3 linked regions of the Oryzias latipes genome follow. Each later gene encodes a partner of the first gene's protein in a complex. Links are inferred from orthologs where the notes say so. Each region holds a gene or a part of one and is shown in the gene's direction. Other genes may lie near its edges. The genes, in order: syntaxin-4, vti1b and bet1l.

Region 1 (4,093 bases):
TATATACCGGTAAGTTATCTCATATTTGCTTTTATGTATTACCTAGCTCTATAGGTAATATAATCATACATGCAGAAGTGTTTGTGTCCAAGTTCTGTTTCACAGGAAGGTGAAGGTGAAACTCTTGGGAGGAAACCGACTATCTTAGCGTCTTCCCAAGATCAGCATGAGAACTATGTGGTATCTGTGTCAAGACCGGAATCAAAGGACGCTCTGTGTCAGTTATCCGTGAGAAAAGGCTTTGCAGGTCCAAAGATGATGTGGGGAGACTGTGATAAGATGGACATGTTGCAATTAATATTTTCTGATGGCGCTGCAGTTGTGTTCAATCTGTCTTCCACTCCTTAGAGCTCAGCGCATGTGTAATTTAGGGAATTCCCAAAAAACTTAATAAAAGAGGAGGCGACAGAATATGTGAAAGAGTGGAGAGAGATTGTTGCTGGGTATTATCTCTGTTCACTCTTATTTTAACTCTTGTTTTAATTTTTAATTTGACAAAATGTTTGATTCATATTATTTTGTTCATATGTCAAATGAACAACAAAGTATTATGGCCACTATAAAAGCAGAAAAATTAACATTTATATATGAAAAAAGGTGTAAAATACAAAAAGTTTACATTTTAGAAGAACTAAGAAAACAATTACTACAAAAACGTCATGCAATTATCAAAAAGAAATTTTACAATTTTCAAGAATAAAGTCATATGTTTAAACTGTAAAAACTTGCAATTTTCAAAGAGATGTCATGCTTTTTTTCTTAAGTAAAGTGTTAAATTTAGTTTTTAAAAATTTTCAACTATGACAATTAAATGGTTCCTGTTTAAATGATGTTGCAGAGAAATTTGATGAATATCTATCACTTTGATTATGATTTTTTCTTTTTTGTTTTCTTTTTTGTAATTGCACAACTTTAGTTTCATGAAGTTATAACCTTAATTTAAAAAAACATGACTTTTTCCTTTTTAAATAATACATTTTCAACTTTATTTTTGGTAAATGTTGACTTTTTCCCCACAATTTTACGACTTCGTTCTCATATTTATATTATAATTTCATAATCATATTTGCTATTTATTCTTATTGTCAATAGTAATATAAAATAATAGTATATAATCATAAGTAATATAGTAATACTCTGTCAATTCTAATACTCCGTCGTACAAATATAGTATGGTTCTGGCTATTCCAATTGAATTAAACCAAAGCAGGTTTTGTTGCCTGTAGTAAAGGTGTCTGTCACAAGGGGGCGCCATCGATTAAATTCTGTTTGTTTGAACCGCAGAGGAAGAACTGTGAGAACTGTTGCTCTGGAGTTAAACTTGCTGAATGACAGCAGTGGAAAGTCCGCAGCTTTTGTTGCTTGGGAACCGTTGTCCTTCCTCGGCCGCGTGCTCGCAGCGTTTCCGACACCAACTCTGAACATCGACATCAAAAATGCGGGATCGAACAAAAGAGTTAGATAATGTAAGTTTTAAAGTTGGTGTGTTAGCAATAGCGTTAGCTTGCTAACCTAGCTGTATTGATTGTTTAAGTGAACTTTGAAATGCTTCGGTCTCTGATTATTTATTAACTGTAAGCCCGCATATGAGAGCAAAACAATATACCCCCCCCCCCCCCTTATTTTCTACGCTTGGAAGCACTTGTGGCGATATTGCTTTGCTAACGTCCGCTTGAGTTCTTCCTCCAAGGAAGCTGTCAGGCCGGGATAAGGGCAGGGCTCCCGGCTGCAGATCTGAACCGGCACCTTCACACAGCTCTGTTTCATCCTCCTCTTGTGTGTTTCTGTCCACCTCACCGCAGAAAGCCGAGGCCTCAGATGAGGAGAACGAGGAGAAAACGGCTTTGATGAGCAAACCTGGCAGCTCTTCAACAAAGGAAGATAAGGAGAATGAGGCTTTTTTCAAAAAGGTGATCATCCAAGTTTTCGATCTGGGCTCCTCCAAATGATTTGTAGTATTATCAGATACCGGATGTCCTGGGAAATGCTCCTCCAATGGGCCTCTGCTTCATGTTTATGAGACAGAGGACAGAGCTGAAGGTTTAGCTGTAACACACACAATTGTTTTGCCGACATTAAATTCTCCTCTAATCCCAGAACAAAAGGAAAGTAAATAAATATAAAAGGTCAACTATGAAGCTTTAAATATGAGTGAAACATTAACGGACAACAAACACTGGCCTGTATGTAGGGCTGCACTTAACAATATAAATAAAAGACTTTTAGTGGAAAAATGCAGATGTCCATAAAGTTTTGACATTTTAGTTGATTGTAGCCATCTTTAGTGTGTAAGACCTCCACTTATTATTTGATGCTACAGTTTACCAACTGTCCACGAAAGCAGCATTACTTTTACAGTGAGGGGAAAGAAATGCCATGTTTTATTTTGAAAATCTCTGAAAAGAAAGTTTAAATAAAGTGTCATAGAAGCTGCTATAAATTATGATCATGATGTTCAACTTGTTGCAAACTGTAGTTATAATGATCTAGAAGAGAAACATTAAAACAGAAAGAAGTAAAGAGAAGCATTTCCATATATTATCACGGTTTAACTTTTTAGGTTTTTTAAGTTTTGATTGAACTTTAATTGTTTGGAAAAAATAATTTCTATGCTAAGCATTTCCCCCCCCCCAAACAATAAAAGGGCTTTAGCAACAGAAATCCTCTTTTCAGGTTTTTATTTTAGTTTGGCTGAGTGAAAGAGTCAGACGGACACCAACAATAACACACAGTTGTTTATCCAACTGACTTTTTTCTCACATTAGAAAATCTTAGGATACTTTTTGTATCAGTTAAATGAAACATGTTCAAAGGTGTTGGTTTGTAATAATGGTGTTTCTATTTTCTCCAAATTTCTTTATATTTTTAAAATTCAGATGTTTTTCTTTGAGGGAGGCTGGAGTCAGATACCATCAAGATGGCAAAAGTTTCTGAGCATGTCTTTCAATCCAAACCATTTGTGAGGAAATCAAAATAAACTAAGTAAAGAGAGATGAAATCATAAAGTCAAGGCAGTTATGGATTTTATTTAAAGTCAAGGATCCATTATGATCTATAAACCTTGAGAAGATTCTAAAATAAGAGTCAGCAGAGGGATCTTTGTTCTAATATTTCCTTGGATTTCTTTTTTTTTTATACAAACACTGCATTTCCCAACCCATTAATTGAAGTTTTCTGATCAAAAAAGGTCAGGATGTTACAGTTGCAGTTAAAGCTGTTTGTCTGGGAAGATGATTTTGCCTGTTAATCCTAAAACTTTACAAACTTCTTTCTAAGGTGCAAGAAATCCACGAGGGGTTGCAGAACTTAAAGAGGATGGTGTCAGAGCTGGAGAACAAACAGAAGACGGTGCTGGGCGTGGCGCTGCCAGAGGAGAGTACGTCAACTTTATGAATTTGATAAATTCGTGTTGCATTTTGTAACAGAGGATCAGTGTAGTTGCACTTTAGGATTAGAACGACGTTTCTCCAGATTTTTCACAGGGATCCCACCAGAGTAAGGCGGGGCTAGTTGGGGGCGCCTTTCCAATCAGATTTTTAGGCTCAATGAGGGCACCAAATATGTTACAGATTAGTTTTCTCTATTGGATCGCAGTGAACATGTTTTTCTTTGTCGTCTTCTTCCAAAATGCAATTAAGGGAGCTCCTTTCATGAGGGTGTCTGATGCTTCTCTGCTGATCAATCAACTCCTGATTTAGTGATTTTTCTCAGTGGCAGATACTTTAGCACACAAAGGTGGTCAAAAATGAAAGGAATATAATAATAAAAAACAATTTTTTAAAAACATTTTTATGAATATCTCCTTGTACTTTGGTTTGTTTTGGGCCAAACACATGGCAGGAGCCCACAACTTGTTTGTACCGTCCAAAATGTCTCTGCTGGAGCTGTGAAAGAAATAAGAAATACAAACATAAATTCCTCCCTTCTCTCTGTCTTTAAATCCTAACGTTTACTCACAGTATCAAGACAAAAATAAATCATAAAAAAGAGGACAATTATTTTGACATTTTCAACACACCCTTCTTCTTTCTCTTCTCCTTTTTTGTTGTTTCTTTTTTTTTTGTGGTAAATGTGTTGAACTGATGCAGCTAAC
Region 2 (4,290 bases), on another chromosome or scaffold:
TGACTCAAATAAACACCTCTGGGGTTAAAAAGCAAAGCCAGCCTCCGTGCTGATGACGTCACAGCAGTGCAGGTACCGCGATGGGGGGACAGCGGGTCCCCGCTGCAGCTCACCGTATGTGCGGAGCGAACAGCAGCAGCAGCAGCGTCACCACCCCGATCCCCGCGATGATCACCAAGACCCACATCTGAGCGCTTCCACGGGCCTCTGCCTCCGGCCGGACGTCAGGGATGTGTGGGCAGAGCGGGGCTGAGCAGCTGATGTCAGGGCTGGAGGGGCGCAGCGGCACCGAGAGCGCACGTGCAAAGGATTGTGGGATTGTAGTCATTGTTGTGTTTTGTAGTCCTTTACATTGGAGGTCAAATACAAAAAAAATGTTGTTTTTTAATTTCACGTAGCAGCAGGAAAGATTAGAATGAATGCCAAAAGATATATATACAAACTAAATGTGTTTAAAAAACAGTAAGAAAAATCGTAAAGGATGAGTGAGAAACGGTTCATTATAAAGGAATACAAAACTATAGTTTAATTTAAGAAATGTAATGCCAGAATTCGAAGTAAAACATGGAAAAATGTCAATTATTGTAGATTGAATTTTGTAAAAGAAATTGGAAAAAAAGACAAAAACATATAAACACAACAGCTAAATCTAAATCCTCCCACAGCCTTATATTTTGCAAAAAAAATTTAAATAAATGTATATACATTTATATGATTTATTATCATTTGAACAATTATTATTATTATCACTAGAATCAATTACCATTTAAGTTGCCGTTATCACTTCATAAAACTGAAAGCTGCCTCTGGTTATTTCTGTATAACATTTATTTAGAATATCTATTGCATTATTATACGTTGTCCTCGAACAAAATAAGATAAAACATTCAAATAATATTAACTTTTTAAAAACTAAAAATGCATTTTCAGCACAAAAACTCAATTTGTAGTGAAGGTTTTATTTTATTTTTACAAATATCCTTTTATTTATTAAAATAATAGTAAGTTGAGTAACACATATACCAGTAGGCCTATTTGAATCAGTTGCAAAAATTGAATTATAGAAATCGCATCTAATTTAATTTTAATTGTACACATAAATTTAAATCAAAACATTTTCTTTCTTGTAACTAAAGATTCAATTTAGAACTCTTCTGTTTAACGAAATCAATAAACTACACTTCCCAATTTCCCCTGGAGCCAATGTTAGGTGTCTATTTAACTGCCTGACTAGAAATCTTTACTCTTTTCCCTTTTAAAATTCCGATAAGCAATATTGTGTGATACAGTTCATAAAAAATAAATTTAAAATGGTATCTTTAACACTATTTTAATTTTTAAATGTGTAAAACACAACCGATTATTTCATTCTTTTACGGAATTTTAGTCCTTTTGGTCACGAGGACCATCATGCGGAAGAATCCCGGGTTCTGATGATGAAGGAAGCAAAACAAACAGATTATCTTAACCTTTCCACCTACAAAAAAACCTTTTAAGACTCTTGAATATATCTATATTCAGGAGGAGCAATAATAACTGTATTCAGGAGGAACTATCCGGGTTGATCCCTGAGAAATGTCGTCGGAGGAATTCGAGAAGTTGCAGGAAATCTACAGATCTTTGTACGAGGAGCTGAAGTTAATTCCTGACAGAGCCGCGAAATGTCACGGAGGTAAACGAGGATCATGTTCTTTGTTGCTCATTGTGTTCTTAAAATCTCACTAAAAAACAAAGTGAAAGAGGTTTCATTCAAGATCATTCATAGGTTTCATCCAACAAATCAGTTTATGCAAAGGCTAAAAACAGAAAAACTGTTCTTTCTGTTTTCATTTGAGGAAACGTTGTTGATGCATATTTTTTGGGACTTGCATGGAAAAAACATCTTATTTGGTTTCATTAATTATGATAATAAACATTCGTCTTAATTTGATTTAACGAATCTCCTGATTTTACTAAGTATTTTATTCACAAAACTAAATTTAGCAATAAAGCTCCCAATTGTTTTGATTGATCGACTTAAATTAGATTTTACTAACAATCCATTTCCCCCAATACAAACAAAGAAGCAATTCATACTTGTCATTTTGCTCAGGTTTGTCATTTCATATAACTTTATTTTTGTATATTTATCCCTCTGGTGTTTATAATTGATGTACAAGGTAATGGTCTTTATTATTTACTGTACGTCTCCTGGGTTATGAATGAATAAAACTAACAAAATCTCACTCTGATCATCTTTTGATCTATTTCCAAAGTCGTCTTAAATTATGATCATGTTTTTTTTTATTTAGCCAAGAAGCTGTGTCGTTTTCTAGGACAGCAGTTTGTTAGAAATTTGCGTCAGAGTTGTGGGCGGGACTGTCGGCAGGAGTAAGCCCACCCCCACTTCCCGTCACCCGTCTGTTTACACGCTCTCCTGCTTACAGCCTCTCACACCCTCAACCTGACGTTACAGGTGCAACACATCGCAAATATACGTTTTTCAAACTGCTTTTTTTTCCGTCCGCTCCCGATTCACAACGATTTGAATAAAGAATTACTCAGAAAGGCAGTTATAAGCTACATGTTATACATGTCCCCCATCGTTTTCATGGCAGTGGGTGTTTGAAAGGATGGATGGATGGAAGGAGCCTCTGTAACCTGTGTGCTCTGGTCTGCAGAGGAGAGGAAGAGGCTGGTGAGGAGCTTCGATGAGCGGCAGGGAGAGGCTGAGGAGGTGGTAAGCAGATGTCCTCCTTCCTGACGGCTCACATTCATGGAGTCATTTTGCGGTTAAACACAACAGATGGCACATTCATTATTAAATATTAATTTTTAAAAAAGGCTTTGAAAAAATCAAACTGGGGTTTTTGGTGCTACAGTCAAGAACCAGCGAAGACTTGAAGTCAAAGTTCAAATATTTGGTTGCGTTTCACACACAAAAATAAGAATATTTGATCAAATTTTGTTCATCTCTTCCTGTTGGAGGGAAAACGAGCTTCTAGTTTCACATGAAGTCATTGTGCGTTTATCAGCTGATTAACCTTTAATTTCTTTTTTTCATACTGTTTTTACATTTATTTGAAATGAACAGTGTGATTATGGTTACATGGTTTGCATGCAGCTTTAAGTTTAGTTTTCTATTTTAAATTTCTTTTTGTTCTTTTCATTCATTTGAAATAAAAGAAAAAAATGTTTTATTGTTTTTTCCCCTCTTTTTTATTTTTATTTTTTACAGCAAACAATACCAAAAAAAAGAAAAGCAAAGAACAACAAAACAAACAAATACCCTGCAGATTTTACAATTAAATGTTCAAGTAGAGGTTGACTTGTCTATAGAAATAATCCATTAATGGTTGCCATGTCTCAGGTGTAATTTCTTTTTTAACTGAAGAGTTAATAATTCCATTTTTCTTGAACCTTGTCGGCGTTTCTATAGTCGTTTCAGACGCTAAAATCCATCTTTTTGATCAAATGGACTTGGATTTTCTCTCACAGTTGCAGGGCATGGAGGACGAGCTCCGTGCGGCGCCGGCGTCCTACAGAAACGCCATGAGCACCAAGCTGCGTCTGTACCGCAGAGACATCGGCAAACTGCAGAGGGACATGAAAACCTTTGCTCCCGGCTTCGGCCCCGCCCCCCTGACGTCTCACGGCGACCGCCAGGGCCTCTATTCACCCGAGAACCAGCAGAGTGTGAGTGTGGACCTTCACGCCTCACAGGTGTTCTGGAAACCTCCTGACTTCCTGTTTGTCCCTGGGGGGTGCAGACACACCTGCAGTCGCAGAGGTCGCTGCTGCTTCAGGGGACGGACTACCTGAACAACGCCACGCAGAGCATCGAGCGCAGCCAGCGCATCGCCGTGGAGACGGAGCAGATCGGTACAGACATCATCGAAGAGCTGGGGGGGCAGAGGGAGCAGCTGGACCGAACCAGAGACAGAGTGAGGCCGCCGCCTCCTCCTCCTTTCCTCCTCCTCCTTTCCTCCTCCTCCTTTCCTTCTCCTCCTTTCCTTCTCCTCCTCCTCTTTGTCCTCCTGCTCCTTTCCTCCTCCTCCTTTCCTTCTCCTCCTCCTCTTTGTCCTCCTCTTCTTCCTCCTCCTCGTGTTCCTCCTCCTCCTTTCCTCCTCCTCCTCCTTTCCTCCTTCTCCTTCTCTTCCTCTTCCTCCTCCTCTTCCTCTTCCTCCTCCTCCTCCTCCTCCTCCTCCTCCTTTCCTCCTCCTCCTTTCCTTCTCCTCCTTTCCTTCTCCTCCTCCTCTTTGTCCTCCTCCTCCTCGTGTTCCTCCTCCTCCTTTCCTCCTCCTCCTCCTT
Region 3 (2,870 bases), on another chromosome or scaffold:
CTAGTGGGTCTAGATGACCCAACTCCCAATGGTAAAGTGCCTAGGATAGCACAAGGGTTACGTTAACAGTCTCAATACGGATTGTAAAGTGCAGCACGTCCGTCTTTCTCTTGTTGCTTTGACCCGTCCTCGTAGTTCCTGGCCAATGACTGAAGAGATCTTTAGTCACATGGTTTTGTTTACAAGCTTTGGTCTGGAACAGAATGGTCTGCTTGATGAAAGTTTGAATACAGACCAAACACAAGGTTTGGGACTCGATCCGGAACAAAGAATTTTTTAAGTCTGAATACACCCTAAAGAAAGTTAGGTTTAGCCTCGTATAGAAAATGTCTACATCCTTTACGGCATGGAAAAGCTCTTTCTGGTTCCATTTAACATCCAAATCCACCTTATTCTACCATACAAACAAAACTGGCGGAAGATGGTAGCAGATGCGTTTCAGCCGGAGTTACTCTAAACCAAACGACTACCCAACCCAAATCTAAAGGCCCGTACACACCGGGACGAATTTCGCCCGCGATATTCGCCGACGTTTAACGCCTCGTGATTAAACAAAGGGCACCAATGTGAGTGTGCACACCGACGCGAAAAAACGCCACGCGTCAAAGCGTCATGTTTTAAAAAAACGCCTCGGGTTCTTTTTTTTGTACGGGCCTCGCCGCGCGTCAAACTATTCGACCAATGAGAATGGCGCTTTTGCACACGTGTCTGGAGCTTCTGAAATTACAGTAAAACACAACTTGGGGGCGCTCAAACACAAAACTGCCTTGCTGAGCACACATACCAGCGAAGAAGATAGACGCCAAGTAGCGTCTACACTGCCGCGAAGAAATAATGACGGACATTCTAAAATATCCCCGAACCAAGCACCAGTTGGAGCAACTGGTGCTTGAAATATTCATGTTTTCTTTGTATGATTCTGAAAAACGCGTAAATACTTGCTCTCTTCTTCTGAGTGAAAAGCGACTTTAAGAAGCGTAAAGTTGCGCAGCGCCACCTTGTGTACAGGAGTATTTCTGTTTACATTAAGCGCCATTTAATGTCAGGGAATGAAATTGCATGTTCGCTCGGCTCATCGTCAGCGAAAATCGCCTGGGTGTGAACACAAAAGACGTGGCGAAAGACGCTGGCGAATAACGCCTGGCGAATATTCGTCCCGGTGTGTACGGCCCTTAAGACTGAAACGACTTCTGTCCCAGGGATGTGGTTTGGATATAAGACTGACTGGGACCAGACGACGGGGTTTTGTAAATATTGTGACTCCCTTCCAACACAACAAACCTATTTAATCAGCAACGATAGAACTACGACAAAAAACACAGTGTATGAGCTAGAGCCGCAGCATAGAGTGATGACATAAGCACTCAAAAAGGTTCAGACACCGTTACAGTGTGCACTCGTACACGTTAAATATTCTAATAGCATAAGTTAAAGATCTTGATTGAAAACAGGTTCTAAATAAAATAAAGATTAAGTTCCAACTAACTTTGTTTAATACTGCATAACTGTCAAACTGCACTTTACTGCACAACTTTATTTAAACTATTTGTTTATTGAATTTACAGACAAAATCGGATTTTGCAGAATATTGATACTGGGATATAAAACGAGACATTTTGGTCATATTTCCTAACCCTACTTCTGAAATGGTTTAGCTGGTCACCAAATAATTAAGATTCAAAGACTTCCAGCAACAACAACTAACTTCTTCTCCCTCTTTCAGGACTCAAATATGATGAGTGCAACAGGGCTGCTGACCGGAAGCGTGAAGCGTTTCTCCACAATGGTTCGATCCGGCAGAGACAACCGCCGCCTCCTCTGCTACGTTTCCTTGGGGCTGGTTCTCATCTTCTTCATGCTCTACTACCTGGTTTCCAGGATCCAGCGGTGATTTCAGAAAAACCTTCTCAGCCAGAGACCTACGGATGATGTGAAGCTGAATCTATAGAGTATAGATCCAAGTTTACATGCAAGGAAGAGGAGTTTTCTTCGAATCCCCAATGGAAGGAACGCCAGACTGATAATCAGAGAGGTGTAGAGAACTCCACTGATGTTGTGGAAACAAAAACCTTACCTTCACTAAAACCCTTCTTGTTCCAACTTGGGGACACCTCACAAGAAAAGATCAGCTCTGCAGCACAGGGGAAGTCAAAGTTTCTGAGCCAAACAAAAAATTATAAATTGGCATCACATGTCAATGATGCTGACAGTTACATACAAGTGACCCCAGACTATGTCTCCATTAAAAATCTACAACAACTGAAGCACTTTATTATTATTAGTTAAAGATTACGCATGATATCACTGCAGAGAAGGAAAGTCCAGAATAGTGAAAAAGGTATCAGCTGTTTTTTTATTGTCCTAAATTCCTTTGGAAATATTTGTTTTTCTCTCTCTCTGTTCTTCTTGCACACATTTATTTTTATCAGTTTTTGTCAAACGAGTTGAAGTCCCACTCCGATCACCTTTTGGTCTATTGTAAAGGTGTTACCCGTGGTCTTTTATGATGATGCGGTTTTCAGCCAAAATCAAAAAGCCTGTGTCATTTTCAAGGACATAGTTTCTGCAGAGCGCCAGGAGTTCATCAGAAATCAACCTCTGAGTCGTGGGCGGGGCTGTTGGCGCACACACTCCCGTTCTAACATTACTGGTGCAACAAAAAATGGCGAGCAATATTGCAGCTATCCAGCTGTACAGTTTGCATCCAGAAAACAAAAGTTCATGGATGTATTTGTCTGACAGTGGATGAATCTGAATGGAGAGCTGCTCAGTGGATTTTTTACATATTAAATACAATCTTTTCCAGCTGATTGTTTTGATCTGATTCCCAATGATTTGAGTAAAGGAAATACTCGATTTTAATCTTAATT

What was found.
Region 2: syntaxin-4 (region 1) and vti1b share a complex: the UniProt entries of both Homo sapiens proteins name them as parts of the SNARE complex. The link is inferred for Oryzias latipes from reciprocal best matches to the Homo sapiens genes STX4 and VTI1B.
Region 3: syntaxin-4 (region 1) and bet1l share a complex: the UniProt entries of both Homo sapiens proteins name them as parts of the SNARE complex. The link is inferred for Oryzias latipes from reciprocal best matches to the Homo sapiens genes STX4 and BET1L.

Annotation. Positions count from the first base shown.
Region 1 is NC_019877.2:19,255,860-19,259,952, reverse strand, and holds the start of syntaxin-4, read left to right. Parts: upstream 1-1,274; 5' UTR 1,275-1,436; coding exon 1,437-1,466; intron 1,467-1,802; coding exon 1,803-1,910; intron 1,911-3,276; coding exon 3,277-3,376; intron 3,377-4,093. UniProt on the Homo sapiens protein: Plasma membrane t-SNARE that mediates docking of transport vesicles. Necessary for the translocation of SLC2A4 from intracellular vesicles to the plasma membrane.
Region 2 is NC_019880.2:1,875,820-1,880,109, forward strand, and holds the start of vti1b (vesicle transport through interaction with t-SNAREs homolog 1B), read left to right. Parts: upstream 1-1,367; 5' UTR 1,368-1,575; coding exon 1,576-1,672; intron 1,673-2,597; exon of another isoform or gene 2,598-2,620; coding exon of another isoform or gene 2,621-2,660; coding exon 2,661-2,719; intron 2,720-3,477; coding exon 3,478-3,675; intron 3,676-3,749; coding exon 3,750-3,923; intron 3,924-4,290. Other genes in the region: retinol dehydrogenase 12, read right to left, coding at 114-328. UniProt on the Homo sapiens protein: V-SNARE that mediates vesicle transport pathways through interactions with t-SNAREs on the target membrane. These interactions are proposed to mediate aspects of the specificity of vesicle trafficking and to promote fusion of the lipid bilayers.
Region 3 is NC_019864.2:3,554,441-3,557,310, forward strand, and holds the end of bet1l (BET1-like protein), read left to right. Parts: intron 1-1,723; coding exon 1,724-1,891; 3' UTR 1,892-2,264; downstream 2,265-2,870. UniProt on the Homo sapiens protein: Vesicle SNARE required for targeting and fusion of retrograde transport vesicles with the Golgi complex. Required for the integrity of the Golgi complex.